Linked DNA regions of Drosophila melanogaster. The protein of the gene in region 3 interacts with the protein of the main gene of each other region in a pairwise test. Each region holds a gene or a part of one and is shown on either strand. Other genes may lie near its edges. The genes, in order: sesB, elfless, CG18476 and Ant2.

The links.
Region 1: the proteins of CG18476 (region 3) and sesB interact in a two-hybrid assay, tested with the Drosophila melanogaster proteins (one large-scale study listed by BioGRID).
Region 2: the proteins of CG18476 (region 3) and elfless interact in a two-hybrid assay, tested with the Drosophila melanogaster proteins (one large-scale study listed by BioGRID).
Region 4: the proteins of CG18476 (region 3) and Ant2 interact in a two-hybrid assay, tested with the Drosophila melanogaster proteins (one large-scale study listed by BioGRID).

What each region holds. Positions count from the first base shown.
Region 1 is NC_004354.4:10,778,496-10,788,895, reverse strand, and holds sesB (stress-sensitive B), read left to right. Parts: upstream 1-1,988; 5' UTR 1,989-2,090; intron 2,091-4,437; exon of another isoform or gene 4,438-4,545; intron 4,546-6,006; 5' UTR 6,007-6,084; coding exon 6,085-6,119; intron 6,120-6,215; coding exon 6,216-6,516; intron 6,517-6,595; coding exon 6,596-6,723; intron 6,724-6,800; coding exon 6,801-7,275; 3' UTR 7,276-7,903; downstream 7,904-10,400. Other genes in the region: Ant2 (adenine nucleotide translocase 2), read left to right, coding at 8,379-8,699, 8,776-8,903, 9,201-9,675.
Region 2 is NT_033779.5:18,006,731-18,013,059, forward strand, and holds elfless (elfless), read right to left. Parts: upstream 4,746-6,329; 5' UTR 4,647-4,745; coding exon 4,533-4,646; intron 4,477-4,532; coding exon 4,348-4,476; intron 4,282-4,347; coding exon 4,204-4,281; intron 4,136-4,203; coding exon 3,767-4,135; 3' UTR 2,913-3,766; downstream 1-2,912. Other genes in the region: CG5693 (uncharacterized protein), read left to right, coding at 53-271; CG42659 (uncharacterized protein), read left to right, coding at 838-987; CG42634 (uncharacterized protein), read left to right, coding at 1,264-1,608; CG42635 (uncharacterized protein), read left to right, coding at 1,698-2,096; CG31740 (uncharacterized protein), read left to right, coding at 2,578-2,763.
Region 3 is NT_033777.3:11,673,807-11,681,849, reverse strand, and holds CG18476 (uncharacterized protein), read left to right. Parts: upstream 1-3,733; 5' UTR 3,734-3,833; coding exon 3,834-3,965; intron 3,966-4,032; coding exon 4,033-4,445; intron 4,446-4,500; coding exon 4,501-5,407; intron 5,408-5,465; coding exon 5,466-6,047; intron 6,048-6,118; coding exon 6,119-6,895; 3' UTR 6,896-6,930; downstream 6,931-8,043. Other genes in the region: CG6830 (uncharacterized protein), read left to right, coding at 1-165, 221-587, 648-862; Ho (heme oxygenase), read right to left, coding at 978-1,205, 1,261-1,766, 1,823-1,979; Taf12 (TBP-associated factor 12), read left to right, coding at 2,637-2,906, 2,978-3,298; CG14715 (uncharacterized protein), read right to left, coding at 7,089-7,358, 7,422-7,568.
Region 4 is NC_004354.4:10,783,908-10,791,081, reverse strand, and holds the start of Ant2 (adenine nucleotide translocase 2), read left to right. Parts: upstream 1-4,174; 5' UTR 4,175-4,276; intron 4,277-6,623; exon of another isoform or gene 6,624-6,731; intron 6,732-7,174.

The DNA.
Region 1 (10,400 bases), on a different chromosome or scaffold from region 3:
TGCCGCCAGATCGAAAGATAGTTAATAAAAAGAAAGACAGATGGAACAGAACAATGTCAAAGAATACAAGTTTTAGAGCTGCATTTATATAGTATCAGATCGATAAGGAACATAGTAACAAAATCGTAAAACAAAACCAAAAAAAATATATTAAGTGTACGTTTTGCATATTCCTATATAGTTAACTAAACGTAAAAGCAAGATGGGTAAACATGAATACTACTATAACAATCATTTTGCGTCCATTTTTGTTGTTTCCTATACAAGAAAAAATTAAATAAAAACAAAAACAAACCACAAAAAAAAAAAATAAACAAAAAAAAAGCGAACGAATAAATCACACAAATAGGATGAAAACAAAACTATATTCCCAATTACATTGTATAACTGTCTTTTAACCACAAGCAAAACGCTAACACAATCGGTACACGATAACCAATATACTATACATATATCAAATATCCACTCTGTGTATGTTTTGTATCTGCCATGGAATATGTACCCGAAAGTAATCTAGATAACCACGTAAAGGACATAGGACTCGATGTCTAGATGTGTCGTCATAGTTTAGAGGCCCCAGTATTTACTAGCCAGTACTTTGCATTTGTTTGCCTTTATCTTTTACCTTTACCATTGCCTTTAAATTAACCCCTCTGTCCAACCAACGAAATTCAAAAGAAAGGGTTCTTCATTTGATTACCATACCCCTCAGCACGCCCAAAACTCCTAGTATTCTGGCCTGTCCCAGGGTGCTGATTCAAAAACTAGAGATATACATAGGTGTATACATAACATACTAATCTGCGTAAGATGTTTTCCCCATTTCGGTGTAACTAAATGTTAATATTGCTAGCGCTCAATACGAAATTACCGTATACAAGACCCACATACAGCAAATAAAAAGACACAAAAGCTTACTAAATTGTATCCCAAGGCCAAGGAAAATATTAGAAAACCAGATATACAACTAACTCAAATACAATTTTGTGAACATGTGAAAAACAAATCGAAAAGAAATTTACTCAATAAATGATTTTTCGTATATAAGAAGTGCATTTTGAATCAAGTTTTGCGATTATCCTTTTCAACAACGTTTTAAAATTAAGAATATGATATTTTCGAAAAACATTTTTCAGAATAACTTGGCCAAAAAAGGTGGCTCAGCTAAAACGATGACTGTTTTGTGTTGCTTATTAACATTGCTAACAATCTGTAACACTTTCAAACCGAGTTTCAGGAATAATTTTTTTGACCAATTTAAGCAATTTTTCATTAGGGGTACCATCATCAAAATTCGACAAATTACCGATTTTCTCATTTTCGATAACCAAATTTGCAAAAAATGGCCAAAAATTAAAGTTGCCAGACTTAAATACAGTTCGATGAGGAATTTGGAACGATTTCAACGAGGTATGAGATATTCCAATTTTGGACAAACCTTTGATTTAATATAAAAAGAAAACTTTTGTTTTTGTAAAAAAAAGAGCAATTAAAAAACCGCGTTAAATGCAATACATTCAAACTAGTTTTTATCATAGTTTGGCAAAAGGAGGTCGTACAGGTCGTTGTTAATTTCCCAAAGAAGCGTGCAGATTAATTGTAATGAATCCATTATTAAAACATAAAATAGTCTTTAACTTTTGTGTAATTCAGAACTCGCAATAATATAATATATAATATAAAATAATATAACATAATGGGAAAGTCGATGTAAAAATATTTTTAAGGTATTAAAAAATATCGATATTGATGCTTCAATCCCCGCTTGCCTTAATTTTATAATAAAACGTAATATACTGGTTTTAATTACATCAAAAATAGCCATATTTATTTATACTAGCAAAAGTTACCGACAAAAATATCACGAATAAAAACCGAAATCTAGCTGAATATCGATAGATCGCCGAATAAATACCAGTTAAAGCAACTATCGATATGCGGTATTTTTGCAGCTTTCATCCCCAAGTCACTGGGCCCTCGAGACCCCCACCACTTTACGAATTTCATTCGCCAAGTGAGCACGCGGCTTCGTCTGATTCTGCAAAAGAAGTTTTTATTCTGTGACTTTTGTGAGAAGTTATCAACTGAAGGTATTGTGCTATTTTCTATATCTATTACATTTGCGAGGCTCTTTTGCTTAACAAGAAAAGAGACGGTGTGCCCCGTACCTGCCATTGATTTTTTTTTACCCATTAATTCACGTCACCTTGCGCTAGATTCTGTAGTTATGTAATGTGCTAATTTTTTTATTGTGTCGGTGTTGGTTTAAACTAACGTTTTTTTTTGTATGTTCGACAAGCAGTTCCGGTTTAACTGCATCGAAAAGAAATCCCGAAATGGGACTTGAAAATACCCGAAAAGTGCTTACATAACCCTTGCGAAAAATAATTGTGCCGAAATTGTGTTTGCCATCAATTAAACACGTAATAAATTGGGCGTATTAGCAAACTTTTCGGTATTTTATACCCCCAATCCAAAGTTCATTTAGAATACCCAGAAAGAAAATGGAAGAAGCCACGCTGGATCTTTTTCCCATCTATTTCCTTCCAATTTGCAACCACGCTGGAACTGCCAACTTATGCAATAGCAACGAGTTGGCAGGCCGGCTCGTCTGTACGAAAAAATGTTGCACATGAATTGCGATTATATTTCAAAGAGAATTGCACTTCTCTAGAATCAAATTGGCCTGCATTTGCACAAATATATTATTATATACACCAAATGCAGGCTATTCTATAGTAAAACGCGTGGCAATTGATTGTTCTACCGCCCAGTCGCACATGAGTGTGTATGAACACACAGTTGCGAATAAATTCCATGTGCCACTAACGCCCTCTCGCTCACTCCCATGCCAGACACCAGCTGCGCGTGCAAGTACTTATCGGGTGTGTGTGTGTGAAGAAGAGAGAGAGAGTTGGTTTTATTTCTTAAGAGTAATGTAACTATTTCTCTTTGGTTGCCTCCCTTTCTTTTCTGACCTGCTTTCTTTTATTAAAGATAAAAATTCATGCGAAAAAAACGGGTTTCCCCAGTGTTCTCATTTCTTCTATTATTATTCCATTCCCATACCCCTTAAACCCTTTCTGACGTCAATCGTTAATGTACGTATAGTATTCATGTGATTTATTGTTTATTGTAGCCCTTTGTGTGGCCTTTTAGTGCGATTTTGCACTTGGTTGAGATTAGTGTTTATTATTACATATCCCTGGCGAATCACATTTCCAATTCTCGCCCAGTCGGCGGAAATTTTCAGTGTGATTTTCAAGCCGATCCACGCCCTGTCCTAAAACCCCGATTCATCGCACACTGAGCCATAAAAATTATAACTTCGCTGCCGTTTAATTTTGGCAATTAAGCATTTTTGCAGTAACTTTGCAACTGCATTTTTTACGCTCTCTTTTTTGATGGGCAACTAGCTCTCTTTTATTTTTTATGTAATTTTTGTGATAACGGGACCTTGAAAAAGTGTCGTAGACAGTTATATAAATTAACTGTATTAGCAGAAGTGTTTATCTAATCGCTTCACGCATTTTTTTTCGAGCGCCGCCCCTCTTCCGCCTGCGTGAAAGAGACGAAGCGTGAGAGAGAGGGAGAGAGCGGCAGGTGGACGTCAGAAAGCAAAGTCACATGCTAGCAGTGCTGCCAACCCTATCTTTAGAAATAAAGCCAAATGTTATTAATAGCTTAGCAATTAAATAGCTACAAACAATTAATAAAACCTTTCAACTCTTTTCAACTTTTATTTTTATAAAAATTGATAATAGTTTTGGTTTTTGTATTTGAATAAATTGTTCACTGCTGTATATTGAAGTTTTCTAAGCCAGTCCAAGTAGTTCTTAAAACTGAATATCAAAGATACCCCAATTTTGTTGAATAAGGAAGACATGTATTTGGGTGTAATAGAAGTACACTATTCAATCTTCTAGAAATCTAGCTAACAACTAGCTAAACGGGACTATCCGTCTGCTTCGCAGCTGACTTGTCGGCTATTTGCCAAATGTAAATGTTGTGCGTACATTCATTTTGGCAAGCGTTTAGAAAGCGCCGTCGAAAACCTCGAAAGGGGTAAATGAAAAACAATTGGCCATATATGCATTTTTGGTCATGGCCAAAACGAAACAAAAAGTGTTTTCTAATGAGTACAAGTGTGTGGTACAATACTTCCTCTTATGCAACGAATGGCGACATTGAATTCTTGAATTCTCAGCACTGATAAGCGGCGATCTCTCGCCCTCTCTCGCTCGCACACGTGCTGTTGCCAACCGCTAGTTTTTTTTCGGCTCTCTCCGAATTTCGCATACTCTGCATATGCATATAGAGAGAGAACGCTCTCCCCCTCTCTCGCTCACGCTCATCTGTTGCTGAACTTGACGATGGCGGCGACTGCGACGCCGACGTAGGCAGAGCAGGCTAGCTGGCAGATTTCGGCGAAAGGAACTTTCACAAGCAATTCAGTTGCCGTCCGGTTCAGACTTCTGACTTCCGAGGAATAAGGATAAATTTTTTTCGGTTTTGTGCTGTGATATAGAAACACAAATACAAATTGTACGTATGGCAAACAAATTGGATATCAATTATCGAATCGAATTGAGCCATAGCCCATTTAACAAAATACGCGTGTGGTTCCTAATGCTTTTATTATTATTTTTTTTTTTTAAATCAAATCCAACCTGAGCATTGAAAGAAAATCTGCCTGGTTATGTAAAACAACAAAAGAGTTGAACTTGAATCATTCATTGAACAATTTTTTTTCTGGTGTGTGGTGGTGGTCTTATGCAATCAATAACAATGAATTAAGAATAAACTTAACACTGGATTGTGGATACTACTACGACTGCTCAGCCTTCGGTGGAAGCTTTCCACGTGCAACTGTAGAATTTTTCCAGCTGAGGCTATTACATCACGAGCCTTTTAGCTCTCGGCTCTCTGTGGCTGTGGCCGAAGAAAAAGCTTCACTCTCTTTCCAGCCAATCAAAAGTCTAACACGATTAGATAACGGTTGTTATTTCAAAGAAAGAGAACAGAAGAGAAACGAAACAATGGCAAAGCACAGTTCTCTTTGCCAAGTGTGTTACATAAAACCCTTGTCAATGAAATGCTGATTTAATTTCGCTAAAATATAATTTAAACCACACGGCTAACGCAGAGCGGCGGCTGCTCTTGAAAGTCTAAAATTAACAAAACGCGCTTCAATGGCGAATGCCAACTGCCAAAAAAAAAAACCGTGGCCTCTATAGCCATCTTGCTCACACCCACTCAAATGCCCATATATATTGGCTTTTTCCATTGAACTTTTTCAATTCAATTCTTTTCTTTTTTTTTGTGTGGTGTGGCAATTATGCAATCCCCCAATCTTTACTCAATGAAAACCAGTAGACTGCCGCTCTATCCAACTAGAACTGCAATTGATTTATGTCATATTCTCTAGATAACATAAATTAGATAAGCACTTATGTATTTATGTATGCCACGTAATGCCATGTATTTTACTTAGTTTTCAAAGCTAACTGGTTAGAACTTAATTTTCCAACAGTACTTATTTTATATCGATTTAAACCACCACGTGGCAACCAGCCGGCCAATAAAACTTTTCACCTTTTTTGCACAAAACCAGTTTTACCGGCAACTGCCAACACGCATACTAACACAAACAACAAATAATTGTAACCAAAACGCTGATGTTTCCATAAACCATTCAATATTAACCCCCTTTAGCATTAAGTTTAAGTTGCCATTTATACTAACTGTGCATGTTTTTATTTGTTTCATTTGTCGCTAAAACCTTTTTACTTCACCCGCAAAAATGTTTTGTAACCATTTGTAGTGCTGTTCAAAAAAAAAAGTGCATGTTTTTCGGTTTCGGTTTATAACTGTTCAAAAAAATAAAAAAAAAGTGCATGTTTTTCGGTTTCGGTTTATAATTTAATACATTGAAAATTTTCACATTTTCATTTGGCTTTGGGCTATTCTTCTATTGTGCCTTTTTTTGCACCCGTGTAAACAAAGTGAATCGTACATCCACTATACAAAAATACCGTAAACGTATATCGTAACCATTATGCAACGCACCATCACCCGCATGCCATGGGGAATATATCAGCATCCATAACATCACAAAGGTATATCATCATCGGTATCACCAAGTATCACCATCAGCGATGACGGAACTGTCGAGATTAATCAGAGTTTTGGCCAATTGCACGATGTGTTTACAGCAAAATGGGCAAGGATTTCGATGCTGTTGGATTCGTCAAGGATTTCGCTGCCGGAGGCATCTCCGCAGCTGTCTCCAAGACTGCCGTCGCCCCCATTGAGCGTGTGAAACTGCTCCTGCAGGTTCAGCACATCTCGAAACAAATCAGCCCCGACAAGCAGTACAAGGGCATGGTTGATTGCTTTATCCGCATTCCAAAGGAGCAGGGATTCTCGTCCTTCTGGCGCGGCAACTTGGCCAACGTCATCAGATACTTCCCAACCCAGGCTCTGAACTTTGCCTTCAAGGACAAGTACAAGCAGGTGAGACTTTGCAGTCTGCATGTTAGCAATGCGAGCGGAAAACACTAACGCCCCGGTTGCTATTATGTGTGTAACTTAGGTCTTCCTGGGTGGCGTGGACAAGAACACCCAGTTCTGGCGCTACTTCGCCGGCAACTTGGCCTCCGGTGGTGCCGCTGGTGCTACCTCTCTGTGCTTTGTCTACCCCTTGGACTTTGCCCGTACTCGGTATGTTGGTATATTTGCGAAAAACAAAAAAAAAATGTCCAATAAACTAACGTAATGCTTTCGCTACGAATTTACAGCTTGGCTGCTGATACTGGCAAGGGTGGTCAGCGTGAATTCACCGGTCTGGGCAACTGCTTGACCAAGATCTTCAAGAGCGACGGCATCGTTGGATTGTACCGTGGTTTCGGAGTGTCCGTGCAGGGCATCATCATCTACCGTGCCGCCTACTTCGGCTTCTACGATACCGCTCGCGGTATGCTGCCCGACCCCAAGAACACACCCATCTACATCAGCTGGGCCATCGCCCAGGTTGTGACAACCGTCGCTGGCATCGTGTCCTATCCCTTCGATACCGTGCGTCGTCGCATGATGATGCAGTCTGGTCGCAAGGCCACCGAGGTCATCTACAAGAACACACTGCACTGCTGGGCCACCATCGCCAAGCAGGAGGGCACCGGTGCCTTCTTCAAGGGCGCCTTCTCCAACATTCTCAGAGGAACTGGTGGCGCTTTCGTGCTTGTGTTGTACGATGAGATCAAGAAGGTCTTGTAAATTAAATTATTAAATTATTCAAAACAAGCAAAATACAACAACATACAACAACAAAACAAAACAAAAGAAGTAAAACTAAACACTACCAGCTAATTATGTTAGATAACTGAATGAGAAAAGCTAAAACAACAGCAATAGCAACAGCAAAGGCATAAGCTAAGTTTGATCTGCAACCAACACCTCTTACCACGAACAACGGCAAGCAATAACAGCAAGAACCCTTCCTTCCTCACCCCGATATAATTATGAAATTATATTATTTATAAAAACTGGGAACTAATTTACGGAACGATGGCCAGCGTCAATAGAACAACAATACTACAGCAAACAGCAATGCTCGGGGCAGAGAGAGGATGCGACTCAGCACATGAGACTAGACCCACTACACTGAAAGACGAACGAACATAGCGACGATATCGATTAGTATTGTTAAGTTTGGGTTAGGCTATATACTATAGATCCAGTCATGTTGCTGGGTCGTCCCACATCTCCCCAGCCAAATCAGTGTTATCGATCGGATGCAAAGAATCGAACCGAAGACCTGTAGATTCTTTCGCCTCCGAAACGACAAACCAACAAACAAACTCAACTTCGGTTGGTTTAAAAATATATAAAAATTGATAAAAATAGTACAATGTTGTGTTTTTCTTTCTGCGCACGTACATATGTATGTATGTATATCGATCTTTCATATTTCGACTTGAACCCAATTATTGCAATGAAAGTACATATGTATTTGTAATTCAAAAATTATATTAGCATACTTACACAGACCATTTGTGCAGTCAACCAATTGGTCGTCTCAATTTAATCTTCGGCAGTTCGAAGCTAAATTATTATAATTATTTTCTGTTGTTAAAAGAGGAAAAAAACGTACGCTCATCGCTTCTAAAATTGTTGGTCAAAGTAGGCCACGATAAATACATCGAATGTCATTTCGACCGACTGGCACACAACCTCGTTAGCCAATCTCAGTTCAGATCTCAACGTTGTAACATCAAAATTAAAAATTGTAAAAAGTGAAAGTCCGTTTTTATCCTTTTTTACCAACCAACTTTGAAGCTAAACTAAATCGTTTTAAAATCATTAAACAGTAAACTAACATGGGCGATGAAGGCGGTGGCGGTGGTCATGGCAAGGGAGACCTTAAGTCTTTCCTCATGGACTTCATGATGGGCGGCGTTTCAGCTGCCATAGCCAAAACGGCAGTGGCTCCTATCGAGCGCGTGAAGCTCATTCTGCAGGTGCAGGAGGTTTCCAAGCAGATCGCGGCAGATCAGCGCTACAAGGGCATAGTCGATTGCTTCATTCGCATTCCCAAGGAGCAGGGCTTCTCGTCGTTCTGGCGCGGCAACTTGGCCAACGTAATCCGATACTTCCCAACTCAAGCCCTTAACTTTGCCTTCAAGGATGTGTACAAATCGGTTAGTTGTTTGGACAATCCTTATAATAATCATTTCACATACGCCTATAACATATAAAACATAAAACATACTACAGGTATTCCTCGGGGGCGTGGACAAGCACAAGCAGTTCTGGCGCCACTTTGCAGGAAACTTGGCCTCTGGCGGTGCAGCAGGTGCCACATCTCTGTGCTTCGTTTATCCACTGGACTTTGCCAGAACCCGGTAAGTTGATTCATTATATACACATTCAATTGGTTTTTTCATTTATACACATATACATTAAAAATTGATAATTTTGAGTAATTGAGGAAAACAATTCGAACCTTTACATACTTACTATAGTCGTTCAAAATAATCGATGTCCAAATGAGATTATACATTAAGACGCTTTTTCTACAACTGCATTATTCACCCACATGAACTGTTTTCCCCATTTGATTTGAATTTGATTTACTTTCATTGGATTCGATTTTGTTATTAACTATTTATTACTATTCCAATTCAATCTTCCGCCGACAGTTTGGCCGCCGATGTGGGCAAGGGCGGCAATCGGGAGTTCAACGGCCTGATCGATTGTCTAATGAAGGTGATCAAGAGTGACGGACCCATCGGTCTGTACCGTGGATTCATCGTGTCGGTGCAGGGCATCGTCATCTACCGAGCAGCATACTTTGGATTCTATGACACTTGCCGCGACTTTCTGCCGAATCCGAAGAGCACACCGTTCTATGTGAGCTGGGCGATTGCCCAGGTGGTCACAACCGTTGCCGGTATTGCCTCCTATCCCTTCGATACTGTGCGTCGCCGCATGATGATGCAGTCTGGCCTGAAGAAGTCCGAGATGGTGTACAAGAACACAGCCCATTGCTGGCTGGTGATTGCCAAGCAGGAGGGCATTGGAGCCTTTTTCAAGGGCGCCCTATCGAACATAATTCGCGGCACGGGCGGTGCTCTGGTTCTCGCCCTTTACGACGAGATGAAGAAGTACTTTTAGCCCCAGTGTGCCGCCGTTTGTGGTGGGCCAATTCGATCGCCAGCAGCAGCAGCAGCAGCCCCGGCCACAGCAAATGTCACACCACGATGGCGTAGCACCAACCGAACACACTGTCCACCTCTTCGTCGAGGAGGACTTGCTCCCACGAGCCCAGTAGTAAATTAATAATTTGATTTGATAGGTCGCCCCACATGGTGGTCGGTCCCTCATTTCAGATTGTGTTCACTTTCGCAGTGGTTGAGAAAATACAAATAATATATTGAACTCAAATCTTTGTTGTGCGCTCTTTGTTTGTTTTCATCATCGCGTGTTTTTTGCTTTTTGGTGCATGTGTGTGTACGGATTAGGGTGGGCCACATCTAACTAGGATCTAATTATCCTCTCAACAAGCTAAGCTAGTCGTTATATTCAACTATATGTGAAGGACAAACAAAAAAAATTTAATTAATTTACGTATATTATTTTGTCTCGATTGAATACATTTCAAAAAAATTACAAAATCATTATATGTACGCCATGAAATGATAAAAGGTTATGTACTATATGGGCTGCCCACCCTACTCGTTTTCGTAGATATGGTCTTGTGCGGGTGGATTTAAGACTTAAACGTTAGTTAGCCATTTAAATAAAAATAACATTAAAAACAGAAAGCCATGTCGCTTTCCATTGTCAATCTGCTGCATACGTTAATTAACAACAAAAAACAAAAGTACAAAAAAAAGAGG
Region 2 (6,329 bases), on a different chromosome or scaffold from region 3:
ATTTGCCACTGCCATCTGCCTCGACCTTCGTTTTCAGTGGAGGTGCTGCAGCATGCCTTGCATATTTAATCCGGGCTACATTGGACCCGATCCGCCCTGCTGTGACCCCGATTGCTTGGAGGAGGGCCACTGCACGGTTCCGGAGTGCGGAGTTTGCCCGGAGTCCCAACTACCCCGATGCAATCCCGCCCCACAATCCAACAAGGACGCGGCGAAGCAACCACTGGACCAGAAAGCCCAAAAAGAACCGAAGCTCCGGGAACAGAAGTAGTGGGGAAAAAGGCAAAGCTGCAAAAATGAACCAGGAGTCCTTTGGAGATGTGCTGAACACACAACCTTGTTGTGTGTTGCTAATATCTTCAAACATCTTGAGCTAAACCCATTTAGCTCATCATCTCCTGGGCATCGAACCGTCATATTGTAACATTATATTTCAAAAAAATTAATAATAATAATAAATAAATAAAATGAATATCTATAAATAATAAAAACAATAATAATATATATTAACCTCAAATTACCAGCTCTTTTCTATTTTAGCACAAAATAACTGTGGATAAAAAATACAGATAAAATTAATTCATTTTCTTATGATCTATCTAAAATGAAGTCAAATAAATTTAAACCAGCATTCTTGATTTAAATGTCAACAAAATAACACATAAGCGTACATACGCATTTTCTTCATTCAAATTTCAAGCACGAAACGTGTTGTTCTGGTCAAACATTTGTTTAAATTTCTCATTTTTCTCTTCCATTTCCGGTGAGTTTCGAAAGAGAAAATGTGGGAGATGTATTTATAAAATAAGATTTGCAGACTTCTTTCGAGTGCTGAAAATGGTTTACTTAAGTCGTCCTTGGACTCCGGCCATAAACCCTTTCTACATTGGCCCCTATCCGAGATGCGCAGTATGTCCGTGCAACTTCGACATTTACAAAGGATACACCCCCGGTGGCTGGCACAGTCGTTGCTATAGCAGCTATTGACGAGACGAGTACCTGTATAAAATGCAAGAATAACGGCGGGAACAAATATAGTTGAACTTTGAAACTGCACACCAATTAGCCTCGCACACATCTATGTAGAGAAATAATAAAATTGATTCATCGTCACCAAACTGTTGAATATTGCTGGGGAAATAATATAAATATTCCAATCGAAATGGCTTAGATTTCAAATTAGAACTCCTGGGAATTTTAGTTTATCAGGTCGCAAATTGTGTGAAAATAGTTTTCTAAATTCAAAATTCAAGTCTCTTGGTCATGTCCTCGTCTGTGGATCACGTGGTACACCACGTACTGGCCCCAATGGCAATCAACGTCCTCGATCGCGTGGTGCCAGTAATCCGCCAATTGGTGATCATCATGCATCAGGCATTTCTGGTTGATCACCATGTGTCGGAGCCCGTGATCGATGTATCCGGCATGATTCAGCCCGTTCGTAAAATAGTCTTGATTGTAAACGATTCAACGCCGGAGCACCATGTCGACCAGGAGCAGGTGGTCAGTTCGGATGACATTAACTACCTGATAAATGAAATTTCGCGAAGTATCCGAAACTTGGCCCGTTCGACCTATAATACCATCTCGGCGATGGCTGGAGAGTAGCCCTAGAATTATTTGTCATCGTGGTCGATCGAAAAATCCGACATCGACCCTCCTGATCCTCCAGAAGATCCTGCTCCTTTGCCCAAGATATGGAAATGGTTCACACGGCCATCGGAGTTGCGGGCATAGTGGCCCTGTTTATGGTAGTTTCCCGTTCGTTAACTGAAGTGGGTGGCAGGGTGTTAAACCAAACCCGTGATCCGATCGCTGACCTTGTGAGGCGCGGTGGTCCAGTGGCGGATCAGCTGTCCGCCGTCGAGGGCGAAACTCCTCTAGTAGAGGGCGATCGCATGGATGGCGCCTGCTCCGTGGTACAAAGTATTGGAGGCAAGGCATGTGCCTTTGTAGGACCATTGCTTCCTAAGTTTGGCAGTGAACATAATTCCGAGGGCTCCTCCAAGGAAGACGAAAAGGATAAAAAGGACTCGGAACCGGTAGTAGTAAAACCTGAAACACCGCCAGCGGCAGAATTAACCGAAGAGGAGTAGGATCTAGTCAGCAACTATGTCGAATAGAAAGCAAAAAAAAGGAAATTTTTAGTTTTCTCTAGTTGGCCTTGGAAATAAACTTCACTCATCTTGTGGGCTTTGTGGGATTCGAAACCTAGAGAGCTCATTCATTTTGAACAGCTTGGACTGAACACATCTCTTTCGTAAAATAAAACACAAAAAAAAACAATATGAAAAATTGAACAAAAATTCTAAATTCGTAGCCAAGGATTAACTTCAACGTATTTCTTCAGCAGGAAAAAAAATCCCAGGTACGTTCTAGTTCGTTAAAATTGAATAAAAAAGTTATACAATTTAAAAATTGTAAAATTGCTTTGTTCCCTATAGTAATTTTTAAATATTTGGTAATGTTTTGTTAATAACAAACCCCGTTTTGAATGGTTGCAGCCGTACCTTTTGAGCCCCTCCTGCAGATTTTAGAAGAGATTCCAGTGTCCTTTACCAAATCCAAACTTTCAAGATGGTTCTGATGCTTTGCTGCAGCTTCGATCCCTTCTACGTTGGACCCTGCCCACCCGGCTGCCTGGCTCCTTTGATGGGAGGAACTCCCTATTGCGGATGTGGTCCCTGTGGAGGTTGCTGTAGTCCTTGCTGTGGTCCATGTGGTCCTTGTGGTGGCTGCAGCTCGTGTCCTTGCGGCTGGTGAAGCGCCCGCTATCATAGGCATTAATACGGCAGCAAGCGGTAACAAGTCAATTTAAAGATCAACCTTCTGGAAAAGACTGCTGGAGAAATATGTTGCTGTTCGAATTCCTTTTTGCCTTGGCCGGGGCTAAACCAACTAAGCTCTCGTATACATAAAGAATTTTTATTATAAGCTGTTCAGTAATAAAATGAATTAAAGTACAAAAGGAACTGCTTTGTGATATATCTCAACACCGAATAGATCCAACCTGGCAAGTGGATTACGTCAATGTAAACGTGGATGGCCAGCCTCCAGTTAAGGATGCAAATGTTGTCCTAGGTCTTGCCTAGAACAGCTGTTTGGGGCATCAGGTTTATTGCGCAGTCGCGATTCGAACGCGCAACTCGAACAAAAACATAGAATGTAGAGCATTGTGTCAGGTCAAAGGTTGTTGGGGTAGGGATGGAACACCCCCTTCTATTATTCAATCTTTGAATGAAAATGAAACTGAATCTCCAATGCCTCCTGATGCCATGTTGTGTTTTGGATAAGCGCGATTTACAGGGCCGTGTCTGAGGTGTCCCTGAGTTTTTCTGAGGTGGTGATTCCACTTCATTTACATTCATGTGTGTGTGTGAGCTGGCCATTTCACTCTTATTTTGGCATCACTTGCTTTGTTTTTCCGCGGAATTTATTGCGGTAGGTCGGAATTTTCATTGCTTGCCTTCCATTTTTCCGGGGTTTCCTGCAAGTATGCGAGTGTGTCCTTGCGCCATGTTTTATGGCCAAAGTTGTCTGTCTTGTATTTGAGTTTTAGTTTCTCAGCTGAAAGTTTTCGATTGCATTGTGTTTCTTGAGTATGTTGCCTGGGATAAGATTTTGTTTGCGTTGTTATAATGGAGCAACAGTTTCTTTAGGTGTGAATATTGTGTTACGGTCTTTCGAAAGTATATGCCACAAGTCTATTTGTGGTATTTAAAACCGTGGTATTTTTAGTTTAGTATGCTTTCTGCCATATCACGTCTTACAAGAAAATACGATGGAATTCGGGCTCATCCACTCCGCACAATGGGCATACCCTGCCAGTGTCGACAGCTCTCTTAATGCACGCTTTGCAGAAAACGTGGCCACAATTGGTGGACACTGGTAGCTTCTCGCGGACATCTTCCAGGCACACAGGGCAGTTGTAGGGCAAGACAGATTTCTTGGACTCCTCGTCATCTGATTTGATCCGTTTGTTGGGAGGAGAATCCTCGTTTGAATCTGAGGATTCTGTATGTCCCATTGGTGTTGATGATTCGGTGGAGCTCATACTGCTATCGAAGCTAATGCTGGTCGATGAGCTTTCACTATCACTGGAACTAGACGACTCTGAGTCGCTGGAATACTCCAACTGCACAACAAAGTTAAAGCTATTAAAACCTATGGATTCCGGATCGAGATGAACGAACAAGAACTTACCAGGAATGGGGTTCTGTCGATAGATCTGCTGCTGCTTGAGGAGTCCGAGTCTCCGTAATACTCATTTGGATTCCGCTCCTATTAAATGATGTTGTAATGTAACCAATGGATTCTGGGTGGGACCTGGCTAGAACAATAACTTACAGAGGAACCGCTGAGTAAGCGGGATCTTAATCCGGAGGGCGCGAGTACGGGAGTGGGCCCGGTGTTATGGATTCGCTGTGATACTCCAGAATTATTCGAGGTCCTGAAGTTTTCCATTTGAAGTCCCACCTATTCCATAAAGTGTATTATCAATAGATTTCAGAGCTGGGTGAACATGAACTTACCAGGTAACTGAGGCGAGAGCTCAAATGTGAACGGTTTCTGGAAAAGGGTAAGGAAATAACCCTAGTGTTCTGCTCCCATTCAGTAGAAGAGTCTGAGTCGCTGGAATCACCCATTTGAAATCGCACCTGTTTTTGCAGTTTTAATACTACCAATGAATTCTGCCTTGGAACTTACAACTTTTTACAAATTCAGTTGAACCCGTTTCCTTGCTTTTTATTTGCAAATTTACAAGAAAGCTGTTTGAACATATGTCAAAAAATCTTGAAAGTTCCAGGACACAATACCAGTATTTTAAGTGCCAAAGGTCACACTGCGATAAAAAGTACCATTTCAACGCGCCAACAATCATTGTCCGATTTCCATGATTTCCAAATTGGATATTTGCTTAGGATTGTCACCCTAAGAAGTACTATTTATACCAGGTACTCGTGGAGTAAAAGGGTACACTAGATTCGTTGAAACAAATAGAAGGAATTTCCATTTAATTAAGATACAAAACCGAGTAGATCTGGCTATGTTCGCCTGTCTTGCCGGCCGTATGAAAGAATCATAGGAACTATAAAAGCAAGAAGGTTGTGATTAAGCGGACAGATTCTAGAGACATAGACGCAGCACAGATTTTTTGGCCCTGTTGCCACGCCCACTCTAACGACAAACCGCCCAAATCAAATTTGTTTATAATTTTATTAGTCTTGTTAATTCTTATCGATTAGACACAAAACTTTTTGCCATGCCCACTCTAACGCCCAGACTTTAGAACAATTTTTAAATGTTTTCACATTCATCGATATCCCAGAAAAATGATCGAATTTCGCGTTCGTATTCCCACTAGCTGAGTAAGGGGCATCTAAAAGTTAGGGAACTCGACTATAGCATTCTCTCATGTTTGTATCTTAAATGGTTAACATAAAATTAAAAAATATGCTAACAGAAGTAACTCCCTACAACGAAAGAAATTCAAAGATCGAAAGTCCGGACTCAACAACATAGAATTCCCGAAGTCACACACGAACTTGCAACATGTTGCAAGTGCCGCTCGGACTGTCTCGAGCCGTTGGAAGCTCCAGCCGCGTTCTCGACTTCCGATTTAACTTTCAGCGCGCTTTCGGCCGACTTCAGTGTACGTTTGGCTCGCGCAGAGTGCGGATTGCAGTTCGATTCGGCTTAATCAGCCCAGTGATTTTAGCGTATTTCATCCGTAGGATTGCTCTGCCGCAGATCTGGCCGATAAGACTTGGCAACACATCAGGACCCAATCCTGGAGGCCCTAACCGTAATTAAATTATCGGGCGAGTTAATTGGCAGCCCGAGAGTTGCGAAAGTCGTAATGACGGTGCCATTCATCTGGCATTTAGCTTGATTCCCGTTCGCCGATCGCTTTGCCGTGCTAAAGTCTGTAATATTTGGTTAGTGCGGGTTGCCAAAAAGTTAAACAGAACAGAAAGTACGGTTCATTTGCTAAATACACGGGACCATTCAAATATCCCGACACAATTTAAGAGTGTGTGTGGGCGTGTGTTTGTGTATGTGCGCTCAGTGAGTGAGATGTGTGGCAAGTTTCATTTATTGGCAGCCAGCAACTGATTTGAATATTCACTCGCACACTCATACCCGAAAGGATCTGCGCTGCCAAAATACTAGACCAGATTGTGGCTCCTGTGTCGCCCGTGCATAAGTGTGTGTGCAGTATGATTTATAGGTCCTGCAGCAGGCGTGATGTAAAGTGACAATTTCTGGTAATTTTCGATTTACATGCCGTTGTGCATTGGGTAAGTTTGACGAAGGATCCCTGGATT
Region 3 (8,043 bases):
CTGAAGTACAAGGAACTAAATGGACCCTATTCGCCCAAATACAATAATGGCATTTTTACAGAGCAAACGGCACCTATATTTAAGGGTATGTTTGTTAACACTAAGAAATCCTTTATAGAAGAAGTGAGCAAGTTTGACGGTGTGGATGAGTACTTGCACAAAATGGTAAGTCACTTTACTTTATTCCTTGTAACTAACTTAACAAAATCATATTTTGCAGCCAGAGATCTTGGATACGTATGTCGACAGAATACTTGAAGATGCCAAAATAAATGAACAAGCGTTTAATGTGCTCAATCATGGTGATGCCTGGATAAATAACATCATGTTCCAATACGAATCAGATGGTCGCGTCAAGGAAACCCTCCTGTTGGATCACCAAGTCACGAAGTATGGAAATCCTGCCCAGGATCTGTATTACTTCATAATGAGCTCCACTCAACTGGACATCAAAGTCGATCAGTTTGACTACCTTATCCGATGGTATCATCAAAACATGAAGGAGCACGCCAAGCTGTTGAACTACAACGGATTTATTCCCTCGCTAAAGGAACTGCACGCCATTCTGATACAGCACCCCATTTTTGGTAATTTACAGAAGGATTTGAGGTTTTTAAATTCCTCTGACTGACATGTTTTTCTTCAAGCTGCTGGAACTGTGCTCACTACCTTGTCGATGTGTCTTAACAAGACAACCGATGACTTTACCACTGATAGCTTTTTGGGAAATGAAGAGAATGGCAAATCCCTGAGGGAGGCAATGTTTAGCAACGAACGTTATAGGGCCAATATAGAGCGTGTCATGCCATGGATAAATAGACGAGGACTGCTTGATAATTTTGCCAACGGACATTCCCAATAAATACTTTACTTCAGACAAATTTCAGGTTATTTACTATTTAACAAACGACTAAATAAATGTGTGATCACAATTCTAACTTGCTCAAGAGAGCTTACATTTGTATTTCCTACTTTTCTTACTTGAGAGCAAATTTCACGGCCACTACAATACTTGAAACAAAGATTAGTGCGAGGGCCAGCTTCCTAAGATTGGCACGATTCACACCTTTGATGGTCCGTACTACTTCTATATTTAAGCGAAATACGTTGCGACTTTCCTCAATAAAAGCAGCACGCAAATCATCGTCAAAAGCTCCGTAGTGATTGTTGAAAACGCGCCTTAGTTTGGCCTTTAAGACAGAGATCTGAAAGTGGATATAAAGACAATAGATATAAGGAACAAAGTAAAAAGCTACGCACCTTCTCAGGAAAATATGTGGCCTCACATCCCGGCGGGCAAATGGTAACCTGGGCAGGCATTGGCCTGGCCTCCAAGTCGTCTTTGTCTACAGAGCCATCGGCAGCTCTGGCGGTGGCCAACTCTGCCTCCTTGTCGGCCTGCTTCTGCTGCTCCTCGTCATCGTTCTTTGAAAAGATCCACATTTTACGAGCGATCATACGCTTCTTCTGCAACATTTGTCCGCCGGACATCAAAGCCATGTACATCTGATAGGAGTAGGCGAACAGCAAGAGTTCGTTCTGTGCGGCAATCTTTTCCAGATGCTCGAGATATTTCTGGACCGCCGGGCGAATTTCGTAGTCCTTCCTCCAATCGGAACCGTAGAAATAGGCAAAATCCCTTTCAAATGCCGCTGTTCTGTGGAATTCTTTGGGCAGCAGGCGCTCCGGCAGATGGGTCTCAAAGAATTTGTACAGTTCGTAGAAGGCCAGGAGTCCATCATACCAGACCTCGTCATCAGAAAGGGCTATGGAAGAAGAGGAATATCTAATAACTTCTAATAATATCGTGTAATTAACGAACCAAGTGCGATCTTTGCATTCACTAGAACATCAGTAAGATTATGCACATCTTTTGTGGCTTTACGCAACTCCTTTGTGAACGCCATGTCTACGAATTCCACATCCTCCACATTCTCGGAGACCTGACTGTCCGCTATTGTTTCTTCGCTCGCTGACATGTTTCTTTTGCGCAGCTATTGTTCCCAATTACAAAGTAAAATATATTCCTTATCTACGTGATATTTGCAAAATACGCCGTCTTTGTTTTGTTTTGAACTCCACGCCAGTGTGGCTGTCTAACTAAAATATACTGAAATTAAACGTAAATATACCAAATTGCTTTATAGCACCAGCGGGCATTTCAGAGTCGCCTGCAACTGGCCATACTGTTGATTTGGCTGTAGTTGCTCCGCTTATTTTTATTTTGTTTAGTAATTTAGGAAAGTAATAGTTTAAGATCAAAGTGTTAAAACCGCAATAATTGTAAGTGTTGCATGCGCTAAGAGCAACTGCTAAGTAACACTTTAGTTTTAGTAAACACACAAAGCGACGGATTCTTAAGACCGCACGCGTGAAATTGACCACTCTATTCTTTTACTTACATTTCGCTTTGCAACCAAACACCCACGCACACACAATCACCGACTGCAGTTGAGAAAGCAGGAGGACACACAACATAAGCAGCAACAACAACAAGTACACTAACGCTTTTGGCTTTGGTTCTGCACTCTTACCCACTCCCCAAAAATCCGCCCAACTTACTGTACTTTCCCCAAACACTTCCAACCAACCGACCTACCACCCACTTGATTTGACTCTGAAGAAACCCAAAAGCAATGTCGGATCTCTTTACCACTTTCGATAGCAACGGCGTCGCCGAGCACCACCTGCACCACAACCACAACTCCACATCGTCCGCCAGCGGACTGCTCCACGACCCACCCATGGCCTCGCCCTCCCAGCACAGTCCGATGACCAACAACAGCAACTCATCCTCGCAGAACGGCGGACCGGTTTCCGGTTTGGGTACGGGAACGGGCCCCATATCTGGTGGTAGCAAGTCATCCAATCACACATCATCCGCCGCCGGTTCCGAGAACACTCCCGTAAGATGCGTGCCTTATGGAGTGCACACGGAATACGCCAGGGTCTAGTTTAACTCTCTTCCGAATTACAGATGCTTACCAAACCGCGTCTCACAGAGCTCGTCCGAGAGGTGGATACCACCACGCAGCTGGACGAGGATGTTGAGGAGCTTCTGCTTCAGATCATCGACGACTTTGTCGAGGACACCGTCAAGTCGACGAGCGCCTTCGCCAAGCACCGAAAGTCTAACAAGATCGAGGTGCGCGACGTGCAGCTGCACTTTGAGCGGAAGTACAACATGTGGATACCCGGCTTCGGTACGGACGAACTGCGTCCCTACAAGCGGGCAGCTGTCACGGAGGCGCACAAACAGCGCCTTGCCCTCATACGGAAAACGATCAAGAAATACTAGAGGATTGGATCTAATCGGGTCGAGGCTCTGTTTCGGTTTGCCGGATTTCGCGTATGCTAAACGTGCACACGCCACAAACTAATTTAAGCTCCAATTTAGATTAAATAACAAATTATCGTCGCTCTATTGTAGATTTATTGTAATAAAAGTGCACTATTGATTTCACATTCAACAATTGGTCACCGTCAGCAGTAAATTTTAAGTCGTGATTTTTTAATCACAGTTTCTAATGGTTCTGTAATATTTGTATTAATTGTTTGTCTGGTGGATATTGATTTATATTTTTCATAATTTAACAATTTCTTCAGTTTATTTTAAAAATATTTGTGTAATATTTCCCTTTGAAAATAATTAGCGGACTCTGCTGAACGCACCCAATTAATTGCTGTATTTTTTAACAACGTGGTATTTTTTTAATGACCGAACGGTATTTTCCATCTCTCGCATCAAGGTCATACCATCAATAATGTTGATTTTCTGATTGTTGATTTAAAATTAAAAAAGCTTTCAATTGGCCAAAACAAATTTGTTCGCCATGAAGCTGCCGGTGATTTGTCGCACGTGCGACTCCACGGACACCGACAACCTTCTGAAGCTGGCCACGCCCTCGAAAAAGTATCCGGACAAGTTGCTTTCGGAGATTTTATGCGAGCTAACCGAAATCAATGTAAACAAAGTTCTAAGAAGCGAAATCTACGAAAAATGCAAACTAAAATGAAACATTTACCTTTCAGCTGGATGCAACTGGTAGTCAGAAATTTCCGCAATGCTTGTGCAGTGGATGCACCAAAAAATTAATGGGTGCCTATTGCTATGTGAAGCAGGCGATGGCCGCCAACGAACTTCTAATGAAGCATCTAAAGAACGGTGCTGCTCCAACGTCAACCGACTGTCTGCAGGAGGCGCCGATGGAGCTGTGTGCTGAGCAGCATGTGGAAGTCAAGCTGGAGACTGAGGATGAGGACTGTGGCGAAAATGATGTTACTATCACTTGTTCCGAACTACCGGAACCGGACGAAACGGACATGGAGAGCAAAAAGTCGGTGGACCCACTGACCATGATTGAAACGGTGAAGCTGGAAATGGAACCCAGAAGCGTGGAGAAGCCAGCGTATGACGATCCCACATCGGACTTTGAAGACGAAGAGTGGGTGACAATTGGAATTTCCCAACTACTTTATTTTAACTAACTAATCTTGCAGCTCCCTGGATAATTTGCCACTGTATAATCGCATTCAAAAGTGGAAAACAGGAAGAAAGTCTGTATATAAATGTCACGACTGCCCTAGGAGTTTTAAACGATTCGACTTCTTGAAACGCCATGAAATGCGCGTCCATAAGCCAGAAACTCGATTATATGACTGCTCCCTTTGCATTCGCAAGTTCAGCCGCAGCGAAGCCCTCGAAGCACACCTAAAAATTCACCGGAATTCAAAACGATCGGCCAACATTAGCGAGCACAAGAAGGCCAAGGCTGTGGATTTGAATCTCTGCAAACCGCATGGCTACAAGCTGATTGAGTGCATGATCTGTCAGAGCCAATACAACAAGATTGCTGATCTGCGCCGGCATTTGGAGGAGCACCCCGATATTGTTAGCCTGTGCGGTCGGCCAAATATGGAGCCCCATGAGCTGGCAGAGCTGTTTTATCCCGATTCAAAGGACCTCAGTGAGGAGCAGTTAATCAACTTGATTCGCAAGGATCTAGCGGCGGGTATCTATCAGCGTTTCTATTCGATAACGAACCAAAGTGGCTACGAAATGGATCTGGACAGCTCGGAGACGGACAGCGACCTGGACGGAGATCACGATGACCAGCACAAGAGGCGAAAGAAGTCGCGCAAAGCCACCTACAGCTGCGAGCTGTGCCAGCAAAAGTTCCCGCGAAAATATCAGCTTTATGACCATCAGCGACAAAGTCACAGTTGGTCAGACGCTCCTCACGTCTGCGGGCGATGTGATGGACGTTTTGTAAGTCTGCAGCTGCTGCGCCACCACAACGAGTCGCAGTGTAGGAATGCACAAAAGCGATTTCTCTGCCACAAATGCCCGCTACGCTTTCGCTGGAAACACAACCTGAAAACACACTTCCGCGAACACAGGATTACAGTAAGTTAATCTAAGAATTGTTCAGGCTACAGACCCATTGCATCTATGAATTTTACAGAATCAAACGTTTGAATGTTCCGAGTGCAAACGGGTCTTTGATAAAAAGAAATCCCTCACCGTTCACCTGCTTAGCGTACATGCGGAGGAATCCAAGCTGATTCCCTGCCAGTGGTGCAGTCGCAAATTCTATCGGCACGACTACTTGGTAAAACACTTGAAGCGACACGGTTTGAAAGAGCATGACATTCCCTTGGCAGAAACATTGATTGCTGCCACCTCGCGGCCAAACGGAGCGAAGCGCATTACTTGCCGCATGTGCAATCTGCATTTCGAGCGTATTGTTGATCTGCGAGCCCATATCCAGTTGGAGCTTAAGCTATCCCTGTCGCTACACCAGAGCTACGACTCCCCGCATAATTATTCAATAACAAACGAATCTGGCTTTGAGCTGCAGCTGGAGGATTCGGAAACCGAAGACGAGATGCAGCCCGGTGTGGGCAGTCGCCCCGTATATATTTGCGAGCTGTGCAGCGTGCAGTGCAAGCGGAAGTTCGAAATGATCCAGCATCAGCGGACGATGCATCGCTTTGACAAAATGCCACACGAATGCGACGACTGCATCTTTAAATGTGTCTCCAAGGTGAGGTTTTAAATGTGTATTCTACATTTAACCAGTATAGATACATTATGTCAATTTCATTATTGCTTCAGAGCATTATGGACCACCACCGGCAAGGTCAGTGTAGTAGTACAGAAAAGAAGCATGCATGTGGCAAGTGTTCCTACAAGTTTATGTGGCCAGAGAACCTAGAGCAGCACATTCTCCTGCAACACAGCAAGTCTTCCGTCAGCAATCCGACTGGCGACAGACACACGCAAGGGACCGGTGACCTGGAAAAGGATGCCACTGAGGACGGAATACCGCTGCTACAGTGTCCACACTGCGATCGCACGTACCAGATGAAGTCGCGCCTGAACAATCATATTCGCGATGTGCACATTAACGGCGACCGCAAGCGCAAGGAGGCAATTAAGCGCTTCCTCTGCTCCCTGTGCGGAATGGAGACGAGATCAGCCGCCGCTCTTGTGACCCATATGCGACGCCACACTGGCGAGAAGCCCTTCAAGTGCGATCTGTGCGAAATGGCCTTTCCCCGCCACTCAGAGCTGGCCTCGCACCGCCGGATGCACACCGGCGAGAAGCCATTCCACTGCACCGTCTGTGGCAAGGACTTTGCCCGCTCCGATAAGCTCAAGCGCCATATGCTTACGCACAGCGGCCTAAAGCCGCACAAATGCACCTACTGCGAGAAGAGTTACCGTCAGGCCAAGGACCTGAAGCTTCATCTCCAGCAGCACACCGGCGAATGTCCTTTCGTGTGCGGCACCTGTGGCGAGCGCTTCATCCAGAGCAGCACGCTGGAGAAGCATCGGTTGATGCGGCGTCACTTCGACGAGGTGGAAGCGTGGCTGAGACGCCAAAAGTAAGGGGCTCTTGCAATAAATACAATTTGGTCTAGTATAAAAGGAATGACATTATTATTTATTGGTCGTGGCGTGGCATCACTTCAGAAACAAGACAAATTACTACTTTAAATATTTGAGCATTAAATGTTTATGACTTTAGTTGAAAGTAAACTTTGGGTGTAGCATGGAATGCCTATTTGTGGCCCTATTCGCTTTACAGCTCTTCAGATCCAGAGCGCGGTTCGATTTTTACCAACTCCGTATCGAAGACGAGCACCGCATTGGGGGGAATCTTTCCGCCACCCGCTCCACTGGCTCCGTATCCCAGCTCAGGCGGAATCGTCAGCTTTCGCTGCTCACCCTCACACATACCAAGGATTCCCTGATCCCAGCCCTTGATCACCTGCCGAGCTCCCAGGGTAAAGGAGAAGGGAGTGCCGCGGGAGTAGCTGCTATCGAACTCTGTTCCATCCTGCAGTGCTCCCTAGAATGATTCCAAATTCGGGGTTAGGTCGGCTAGAGATCTTCCTTATCTGATTTCCCTTACTCTGTAGTGCACGTGGACGAGATCGCCGCCCTTGGCCTTCCGGGTGCAGTTCTCCACCCGCTTCTTAATGCCAATCTTCACTTTCGGATCGCTGGCAGCGGAGGCGGCCACAAAAGCGCAGATTAACAAAATATAAGTTAACTTCATCTTATCGAAAGCCAGTATCAAAAAACACTCGCGGTTTAGTGTGACCAGAGATCTACAATAATTTAACTTGTTCCCACTGCACACATAAAACCAAATAAATATAACAACTCAAATAGTTTTCAACGAAATTAAGAGATTAAAACTTGTTTTTTTTTTTTAACTTTGAAAAAATTAGTAACCAAAAGAAATTTTATGTAAATAAGAGAAAGATCAGAAGTGCAGTAGTATCGGTTCATAGTTAAAACCCAATCAAAAAAGGTCTCACTTAAATGCGAAGCCCGCGAAATTTAAAACTTCAAAAACCACTGCTGGACATATTTTTTCTTGTAATTTACAATAATATGAGTATAGTACAGCTCGGACTTAAAAATAACTTACGTACATTAAAGCTCATTTAAAATAGATACACACATTGTTTGATTACATATTTGACTTTCTTAAAACAAGGAGAGCTCCAAATAATGATCATTTGCTC
Region 4 (7,174 bases), on a different chromosome or scaffold from region 3:
AAACTAAACCGAAACTGAAAATAAAACATTTTTGAGAAGAGAAAACATGAAATAAAACTTTCAACATTTACTATATATTTTTAGCATTTAAGATCCAAAAGTGGAAAATAATAAAAAAAAACCTATTGTGTCAGCAGTAAGAAAATGTACTAAAAAAGTTTACACATACAAAACACACATTTAAAAAAAAAACACAAAAATTTAACAAAATGAAACCCAAAAAAAAAGCGATAAGCATGAACTAAAAACACCCAACAACCGAAGGGAAAATGACCCCAAAAATTTTGAAAAAAACACACACCCCAAGAAACACTAAATTCTTTATGTAAAATTCGATATGGAAATCCCTATTCATATTGTATATGTACAATAGCAACAACGCAACATCAAAATGCATTAAAATGTTGTATGATGTAGACTATGCATTGGAACGAAACGAAACGAAACAAGAAAAGAGGATAGAACGGAGAGGATAAGGAGAGCAAACGAAACGAAAAAGAATGAGAGAAAAGCGAAAGCAAAACTAGTTCAAAGAGTCTCTTTACCCCCGAACCACTGAGCTTTGTTTGTTTGTTTTTGTACATTTCAAGCATTTTGAATATACATATATGCATATATATTTAATAGACCTTATTTATACATACATTTATAATTTTTTATTGTTTCGATTTGTAATAGATTATATACGGTAATCAACTGGAGACTGAGCTACAACATATATTTAGTTACCGTTATATTTATTGCAGAGACACACACACATACATACACTAACACCAACCCCAACACCCTACATGCAAAAAAACAAAAAAAAAACACCCATTCACCACCACCCACATGCAACATCAAACTATATTCTATAACCAAATTCTAACTAAAAACCTTAATCTATAAAAAAAATAAGCATGCATAACGCTATATAAATTATAAATCGATAAGCCTGGCGTTGCGTAGTCAGTTTATTGCATTTTATTTGGCATATTGAAAAATGATTTCCGTTTTATCTTCCGTTGATATCTTACTACCCATATGGGAATCAATCTACGATTCCCGCTTATTTACTTTGATTATTTTATAATTTTGTTGTTGTGTATATCATTTTGCCGCCCTCGTCAACCAACCAAACACTCCACTTCCATATTCCTATGTCCCCATAGTCCCTCCAAATCCGAACCCCACATCCAGCCACCCAATCAATTCCATTTAATCAGACCTCCCCCCTTCTCACTTCTCCAGCGCCTGGTTTGCCTGTGTGATAGTAGTTTATAATTAAAACCATCCGCTGGGCACCCAACTCCCCTCATGGGACCTTAAGCAGTCCCCCCCCCCCTTTCACCAGAACCCTAACCTGCACACATCATTTTTTCAATTTTTGAACGGCGAGCAAACTATATAGAAACCACTTTACACATAATATACTAAAGCTTAAAACAAAAAAAAACATAAAATTAAAGATGAAAACTTACAAAAAAATACCACTATTTTTACATTAATTATTTTTAAATTTATCCTTATCTTTACCTAAATTAGTTTAGAGCTTTTTTTTGCGTCGTCTACATTTTACTGTTAAGTTCATTTAATCTACACATAATCTACATGAGGATGATGTGACGACACCAGATGTATCTACACTGTACATTGTATCTACATTACAGAGCTAAAATATCTATAAATATTATAAATATAACAAAAAAAGAGTAAAATATTATTAAAAACACAAAAAAAAAAACAAAAATAATTCGTTCCTTGGTTGTTTTTATTTTCGTTGTAGTTCAGTATTTTTGATTTTCAGTAACTGGTTTTCCTCTCTCCTTTCCAAATCGGCTTCGATTCCGAAATCCTATAATCCCGATCGTTTCGAGAGGCTTTCGATGTTGTCCCTGTACCCAGACATACATATATTAATGATCCGTAACCCCCTATTCAAACAGTTGTCTAAATTATTAATTTAATGTGAATTTGAGAAGAGCTAAAGTCGTCAGATAAATTCAAATAGCGTGTGAGTACATACATAGATGTATACCTAACTAACAACACCGATCATATATATGGAGTACACTAAACTAACATAACCTAACGTAAACTAAAATAAAGAATAAATGAATGAATTAACTACCTCAGCTTTGAATATTTCTATAGAAATGTTATTAAATGTATTTGAAAAGCGTAAGAGATATACAAATGCAAGATGCCGCCAGATCGAAAGATAGTTAATAAAAAGAAAGACAGATGGAACAGAACAATGTCAAAGAATACAAGTTTTAGAGCTGCATTTATATAGTATCAGATCGATAAGGAACATAGTAACAAAATCGTAAAACAAAACCAAAAAAAATATATTAAGTGTACGTTTTGCATATTCCTATATAGTTAACTAAACGTAAAAGCAAGATGGGTAAACATGAATACTACTATAACAATCATTTTGCGTCCATTTTTGTTGTTTCCTATACAAGAAAAAATTAAATAAAAACAAAAACAAACCACAAAAAAAAAAAATAAACAAAAAAAAAGCGAACGAATAAATCACACAAATAGGATGAAAACAAAACTATATTCCCAATTACATTGTATAACTGTCTTTTAACCACAAGCAAAACGCTAACACAATCGGTACACGATAACCAATATACTATACATATATCAAATATCCACTCTGTGTATGTTTTGTATCTGCCATGGAATATGTACCCGAAAGTAATCTAGATAACCACGTAAAGGACATAGGACTCGATGTCTAGATGTGTCGTCATAGTTTAGAGGCCCCAGTATTTACTAGCCAGTACTTTGCATTTGTTTGCCTTTATCTTTTACCTTTACCATTGCCTTTAAATTAACCCCTCTGTCCAACCAACGAAATTCAAAAGAAAGGGTTCTTCATTTGATTACCATACCCCTCAGCACGCCCAAAACTCCTAGTATTCTGGCCTGTCCCAGGGTGCTGATTCAAAAACTAGAGATATACATAGGTGTATACATAACATACTAATCTGCGTAAGATGTTTTCCCCATTTCGGTGTAACTAAATGTTAATATTGCTAGCGCTCAATACGAAATTACCGTATACAAGACCCACATACAGCAAATAAAAAGACACAAAAGCTTACTAAATTGTATCCCAAGGCCAAGGAAAATATTAGAAAACCAGATATACAACTAACTCAAATACAATTTTGTGAACATGTGAAAAACAAATCGAAAAGAAATTTACTCAATAAATGATTTTTCGTATATAAGAAGTGCATTTTGAATCAAGTTTTGCGATTATCCTTTTCAACAACGTTTTAAAATTAAGAATATGATATTTTCGAAAAACATTTTTCAGAATAACTTGGCCAAAAAAGGTGGCTCAGCTAAAACGATGACTGTTTTGTGTTGCTTATTAACATTGCTAACAATCTGTAACACTTTCAAACCGAGTTTCAGGAATAATTTTTTTGACCAATTTAAGCAATTTTTCATTAGGGGTACCATCATCAAAATTCGACAAATTACCGATTTTCTCATTTTCGATAACCAAATTTGCAAAAAATGGCCAAAAATTAAAGTTGCCAGACTTAAATACAGTTCGATGAGGAATTTGGAACGATTTCAACGAGGTATGAGATATTCCAATTTTGGACAAACCTTTGATTTAATATAAAAAGAAAACTTTTGTTTTTGTAAAAAAAAGAGCAATTAAAAAACCGCGTTAAATGCAATACATTCAAACTAGTTTTTATCATAGTTTGGCAAAAGGAGGTCGTACAGGTCGTTGTTAATTTCCCAAAGAAGCGTGCAGATTAATTGTAATGAATCCATTATTAAAACATAAAATAGTCTTTAACTTTTGTGTAATTCAGAACTCGCAATAATATAATATATAATATAAAATAATATAACATAATGGGAAAGTCGATGTAAAAATATTTTTAAGGTATTAAAAAATATCGATATTGATGCTTCAATCCCCGCTTGCCTTAATTTTATAATAAAACGTAATATACTGGTTTTAATTACATCAAAAATAGCCATATTTATTTATACTAGCAAAAGTTACCGACAAAAATATCACGAATAAAAACCGAAATCTAGCTGAATATCGATAGATCGCCGAATAAATACCAGTTAAAGCAACTATCGATATGCGGTATTTTTGCAGCTTTCATCCCCAAGTCACTGGGCCCTCGAGACCCCCACCACTTTACGAATTTCATTCGCCAAGTGAGCACGCGGCTTCGTCTGATTCTGCAAAAGAAGTTTTTATTCTGTGACTTTTGTGAGAAGTTATCAACTGAAGGTATTGTGCTATTTTCTATATCTATTACATTTGCGAGGCTCTTTTGCTTAACAAGAAAAGAGACGGTGTGCCCCGTACCTGCCATTGATTTTTTTTTACCCATTAATTCACGTCACCTTGCGCTAGATTCTGTAGTTATGTAATGTGCTAATTTTTTTATTGTGTCGGTGTTGGTTTAAACTAACGTTTTTTTTTGTATGTTCGACAAGCAGTTCCGGTTTAACTGCATCGAAAAGAAATCCCGAAATGGGACTTGAAAATACCCGAAAAGTGCTTACATAACCCTTGCGAAAAATAATTGTGCCGAAATTGTGTTTGCCATCAATTAAACACGTAATAAATTGGGCGTATTAGCAAACTTTTCGGTATTTTATACCCCCAATCCAAAGTTCATTTAGAATACCCAGAAAGAAAATGGAAGAAGCCACGCTGGATCTTTTTCCCATCTATTTCCTTCCAATTTGCAACCACGCTGGAACTGCCAACTTATGCAATAGCAACGAGTTGGCAGGCCGGCTCGTCTGTACGAAAAAATGTTGCACATGAATTGCGATTATATTTCAAAGAGAATTGCACTTCTCTAGAATCAAATTGGCCTGCATTTGCACAAATATATTATTATATACACCAAATGCAGGCTATTCTATAGTAAAACGCGTGGCAATTGATTGTTCTACCGCCCAGTCGCACATGAGTGTGTATGAACACACAGTTGCGAATAAATTCCATGTGCCACTAACGCCCTCTCGCTCACTCCCATGCCAGACACCAGCTGCGCGTGCAAGTACTTATCGGGTGTGTGTGTGTGAAGAAGAGAGAGAGAGTTGGTTTTATTTCTTAAGAGTAATGTAACTATTTCTCTTTGGTTGCCTCCCTTTCTTTTCTGACCTGCTTTCTTTTATTAAAGATAAAAATTCATGCGAAAAAAACGGGTTTCCCCAGTGTTCTCATTTCTTCTATTATTATTCCATTCCCATACCCCTTAAACCCTTTCTGACGTCAATCGTTAATGTACGTATAGTATTCATGTGATTTATTGTTTATTGTAGCCCTTTGTGTGGCCTTTTAGTGCGATTTTGCACTTGGTTGAGATTAGTGTTTATTATTACATATCCCTGGCGAATCACATTTCCAATTCTCGCCCAGTCGGCGGAAATTTTCAGTGTGATTTTCAAGCCGATCCACGCCCTGTCCTAAAACCCCGATTCATCGCACACTGAGCCATAAAAATTATAACTTCGCTGCCGTTTAATTTTGGCAATTAAGCATTTTTGCAGTAACTTTGCAACTGCATTTTTTACGCTCTCTTTTTTGATGGGCAACTAGCTCTCTTTTATTTTTTATGTAATTTTTGTGATAACGGGACCTTGAAAAAGTGTCGTAGACAGTTATATAAATTAACTGTATTAGCAGAAGTGTTTATCTAATCGCTTCACGCATTTTTTTTCGAGCGCCGCCCCTCTTCCGCCTGCGTGAAAGAGACGAAGCGTGAGAGAGAGGGAGAGAGCGGCAGGTGGACGTCAGAAAGCAAAGTCACATGCTAGCAGTGCTGCCAACCCTATCTTTAGAAATAAAGCCAAATGTTATTAATAGCTTAGCAATTAAATAGCTACAAACAATTAATAAAACCTTTCAACTCTTTTCAACTTTTATTTTTATAAAAATTGATAATAGTTTTGGTTTTTGTATTTGAATAAATTGTTCACTGCTGTATATTGAAGTTTTCTAAGCCAGTCCAAGTAGTTCTTAAAACTGAATATCAAAGATACCCCAATTTTGTTGAATAAGGAAGACATGTATTTGGGTGTAATAGAAGTACACTATTCAATCTTCTAGAAATCTAGCTAACAACTAGCTAAACGGGACTATCCGTCTGCTTCGCAGCTGACTTGTCGGCTATTTGCCAAATGTAAATGTTGTGCGTACATTCATTTTGGCAAGCGTTTAGAAAGCGCCGTCGAAAACCTCGAAAGGGGTAAATGAAAAACAATTGGCCATATATGCATTTTTGGTCATGGCCAAAACGAAACAAAAAGTGTTTTCTAATGAGTACAAGTGTGTGGTACAATACTTCCTCTTATGCAACGAATGGCGACATTGAATTCTTGAATTCTCAGCACTGATAAGCGGCGATCTCTCGCCCTCTCTCGCTCGCACACGTGCTGTTGCCAACCGCTAGTTTTTTTTCGGCTCTCTCCGAATTTCGCATACTCTGCATATGCATATAGAGAGAGAACGCTCTCCCCCTCTCTCGCTCACGCTCATCTGTTGCTGAACTTGACGATGGCGGCGACTGCGACGCCGACGTAGGCAGAGCAGGCTAGCTGGCAGATTTCGGCGAAAGGAACTTTCACAAGCAATTCAGTTGCCGTCCGGTTCAGACTTCTGACTTCCGAGGAATAAGGATAAATTTTTTTCGGTTTTGTGCTGTGATATAGAAACACAAATACAAATTGTACGTATGGCAAACAAATTGGATATCAATTATCGAATCGAATTGAGCCATAGCCCATTTAACAAAATACGCGTGTGGTTCCTAATGCTTTTATTATTATTTTTTTTTTTTAAATCAAATCCAACCTGAGCATTGAAAGAAAATCTGCCTGGTTATGTAAAACAACAAAAGAGTTGAACTTGAATCATTCATTGAACAATTTTTTTTCTGGTGTGTGGTGGTGGTCTTATGCAATCAATAACAATGAATTAAGAATAAACTTAACACTGGATTGTGGATACTACTACGACTGCTCAGCCTTCGGTGGAAGCTTTCCACGTGCAACTGTAGAATTTTTCCAGCTGAGGCTATTACATCACGAGCCTTTTAGCTCTCGGCTCTCTGTGGCTGTGGCCGAAGAAAAAGCTTCACTCTCTTTCCAGCCAATCAAAAGTCTAACACGA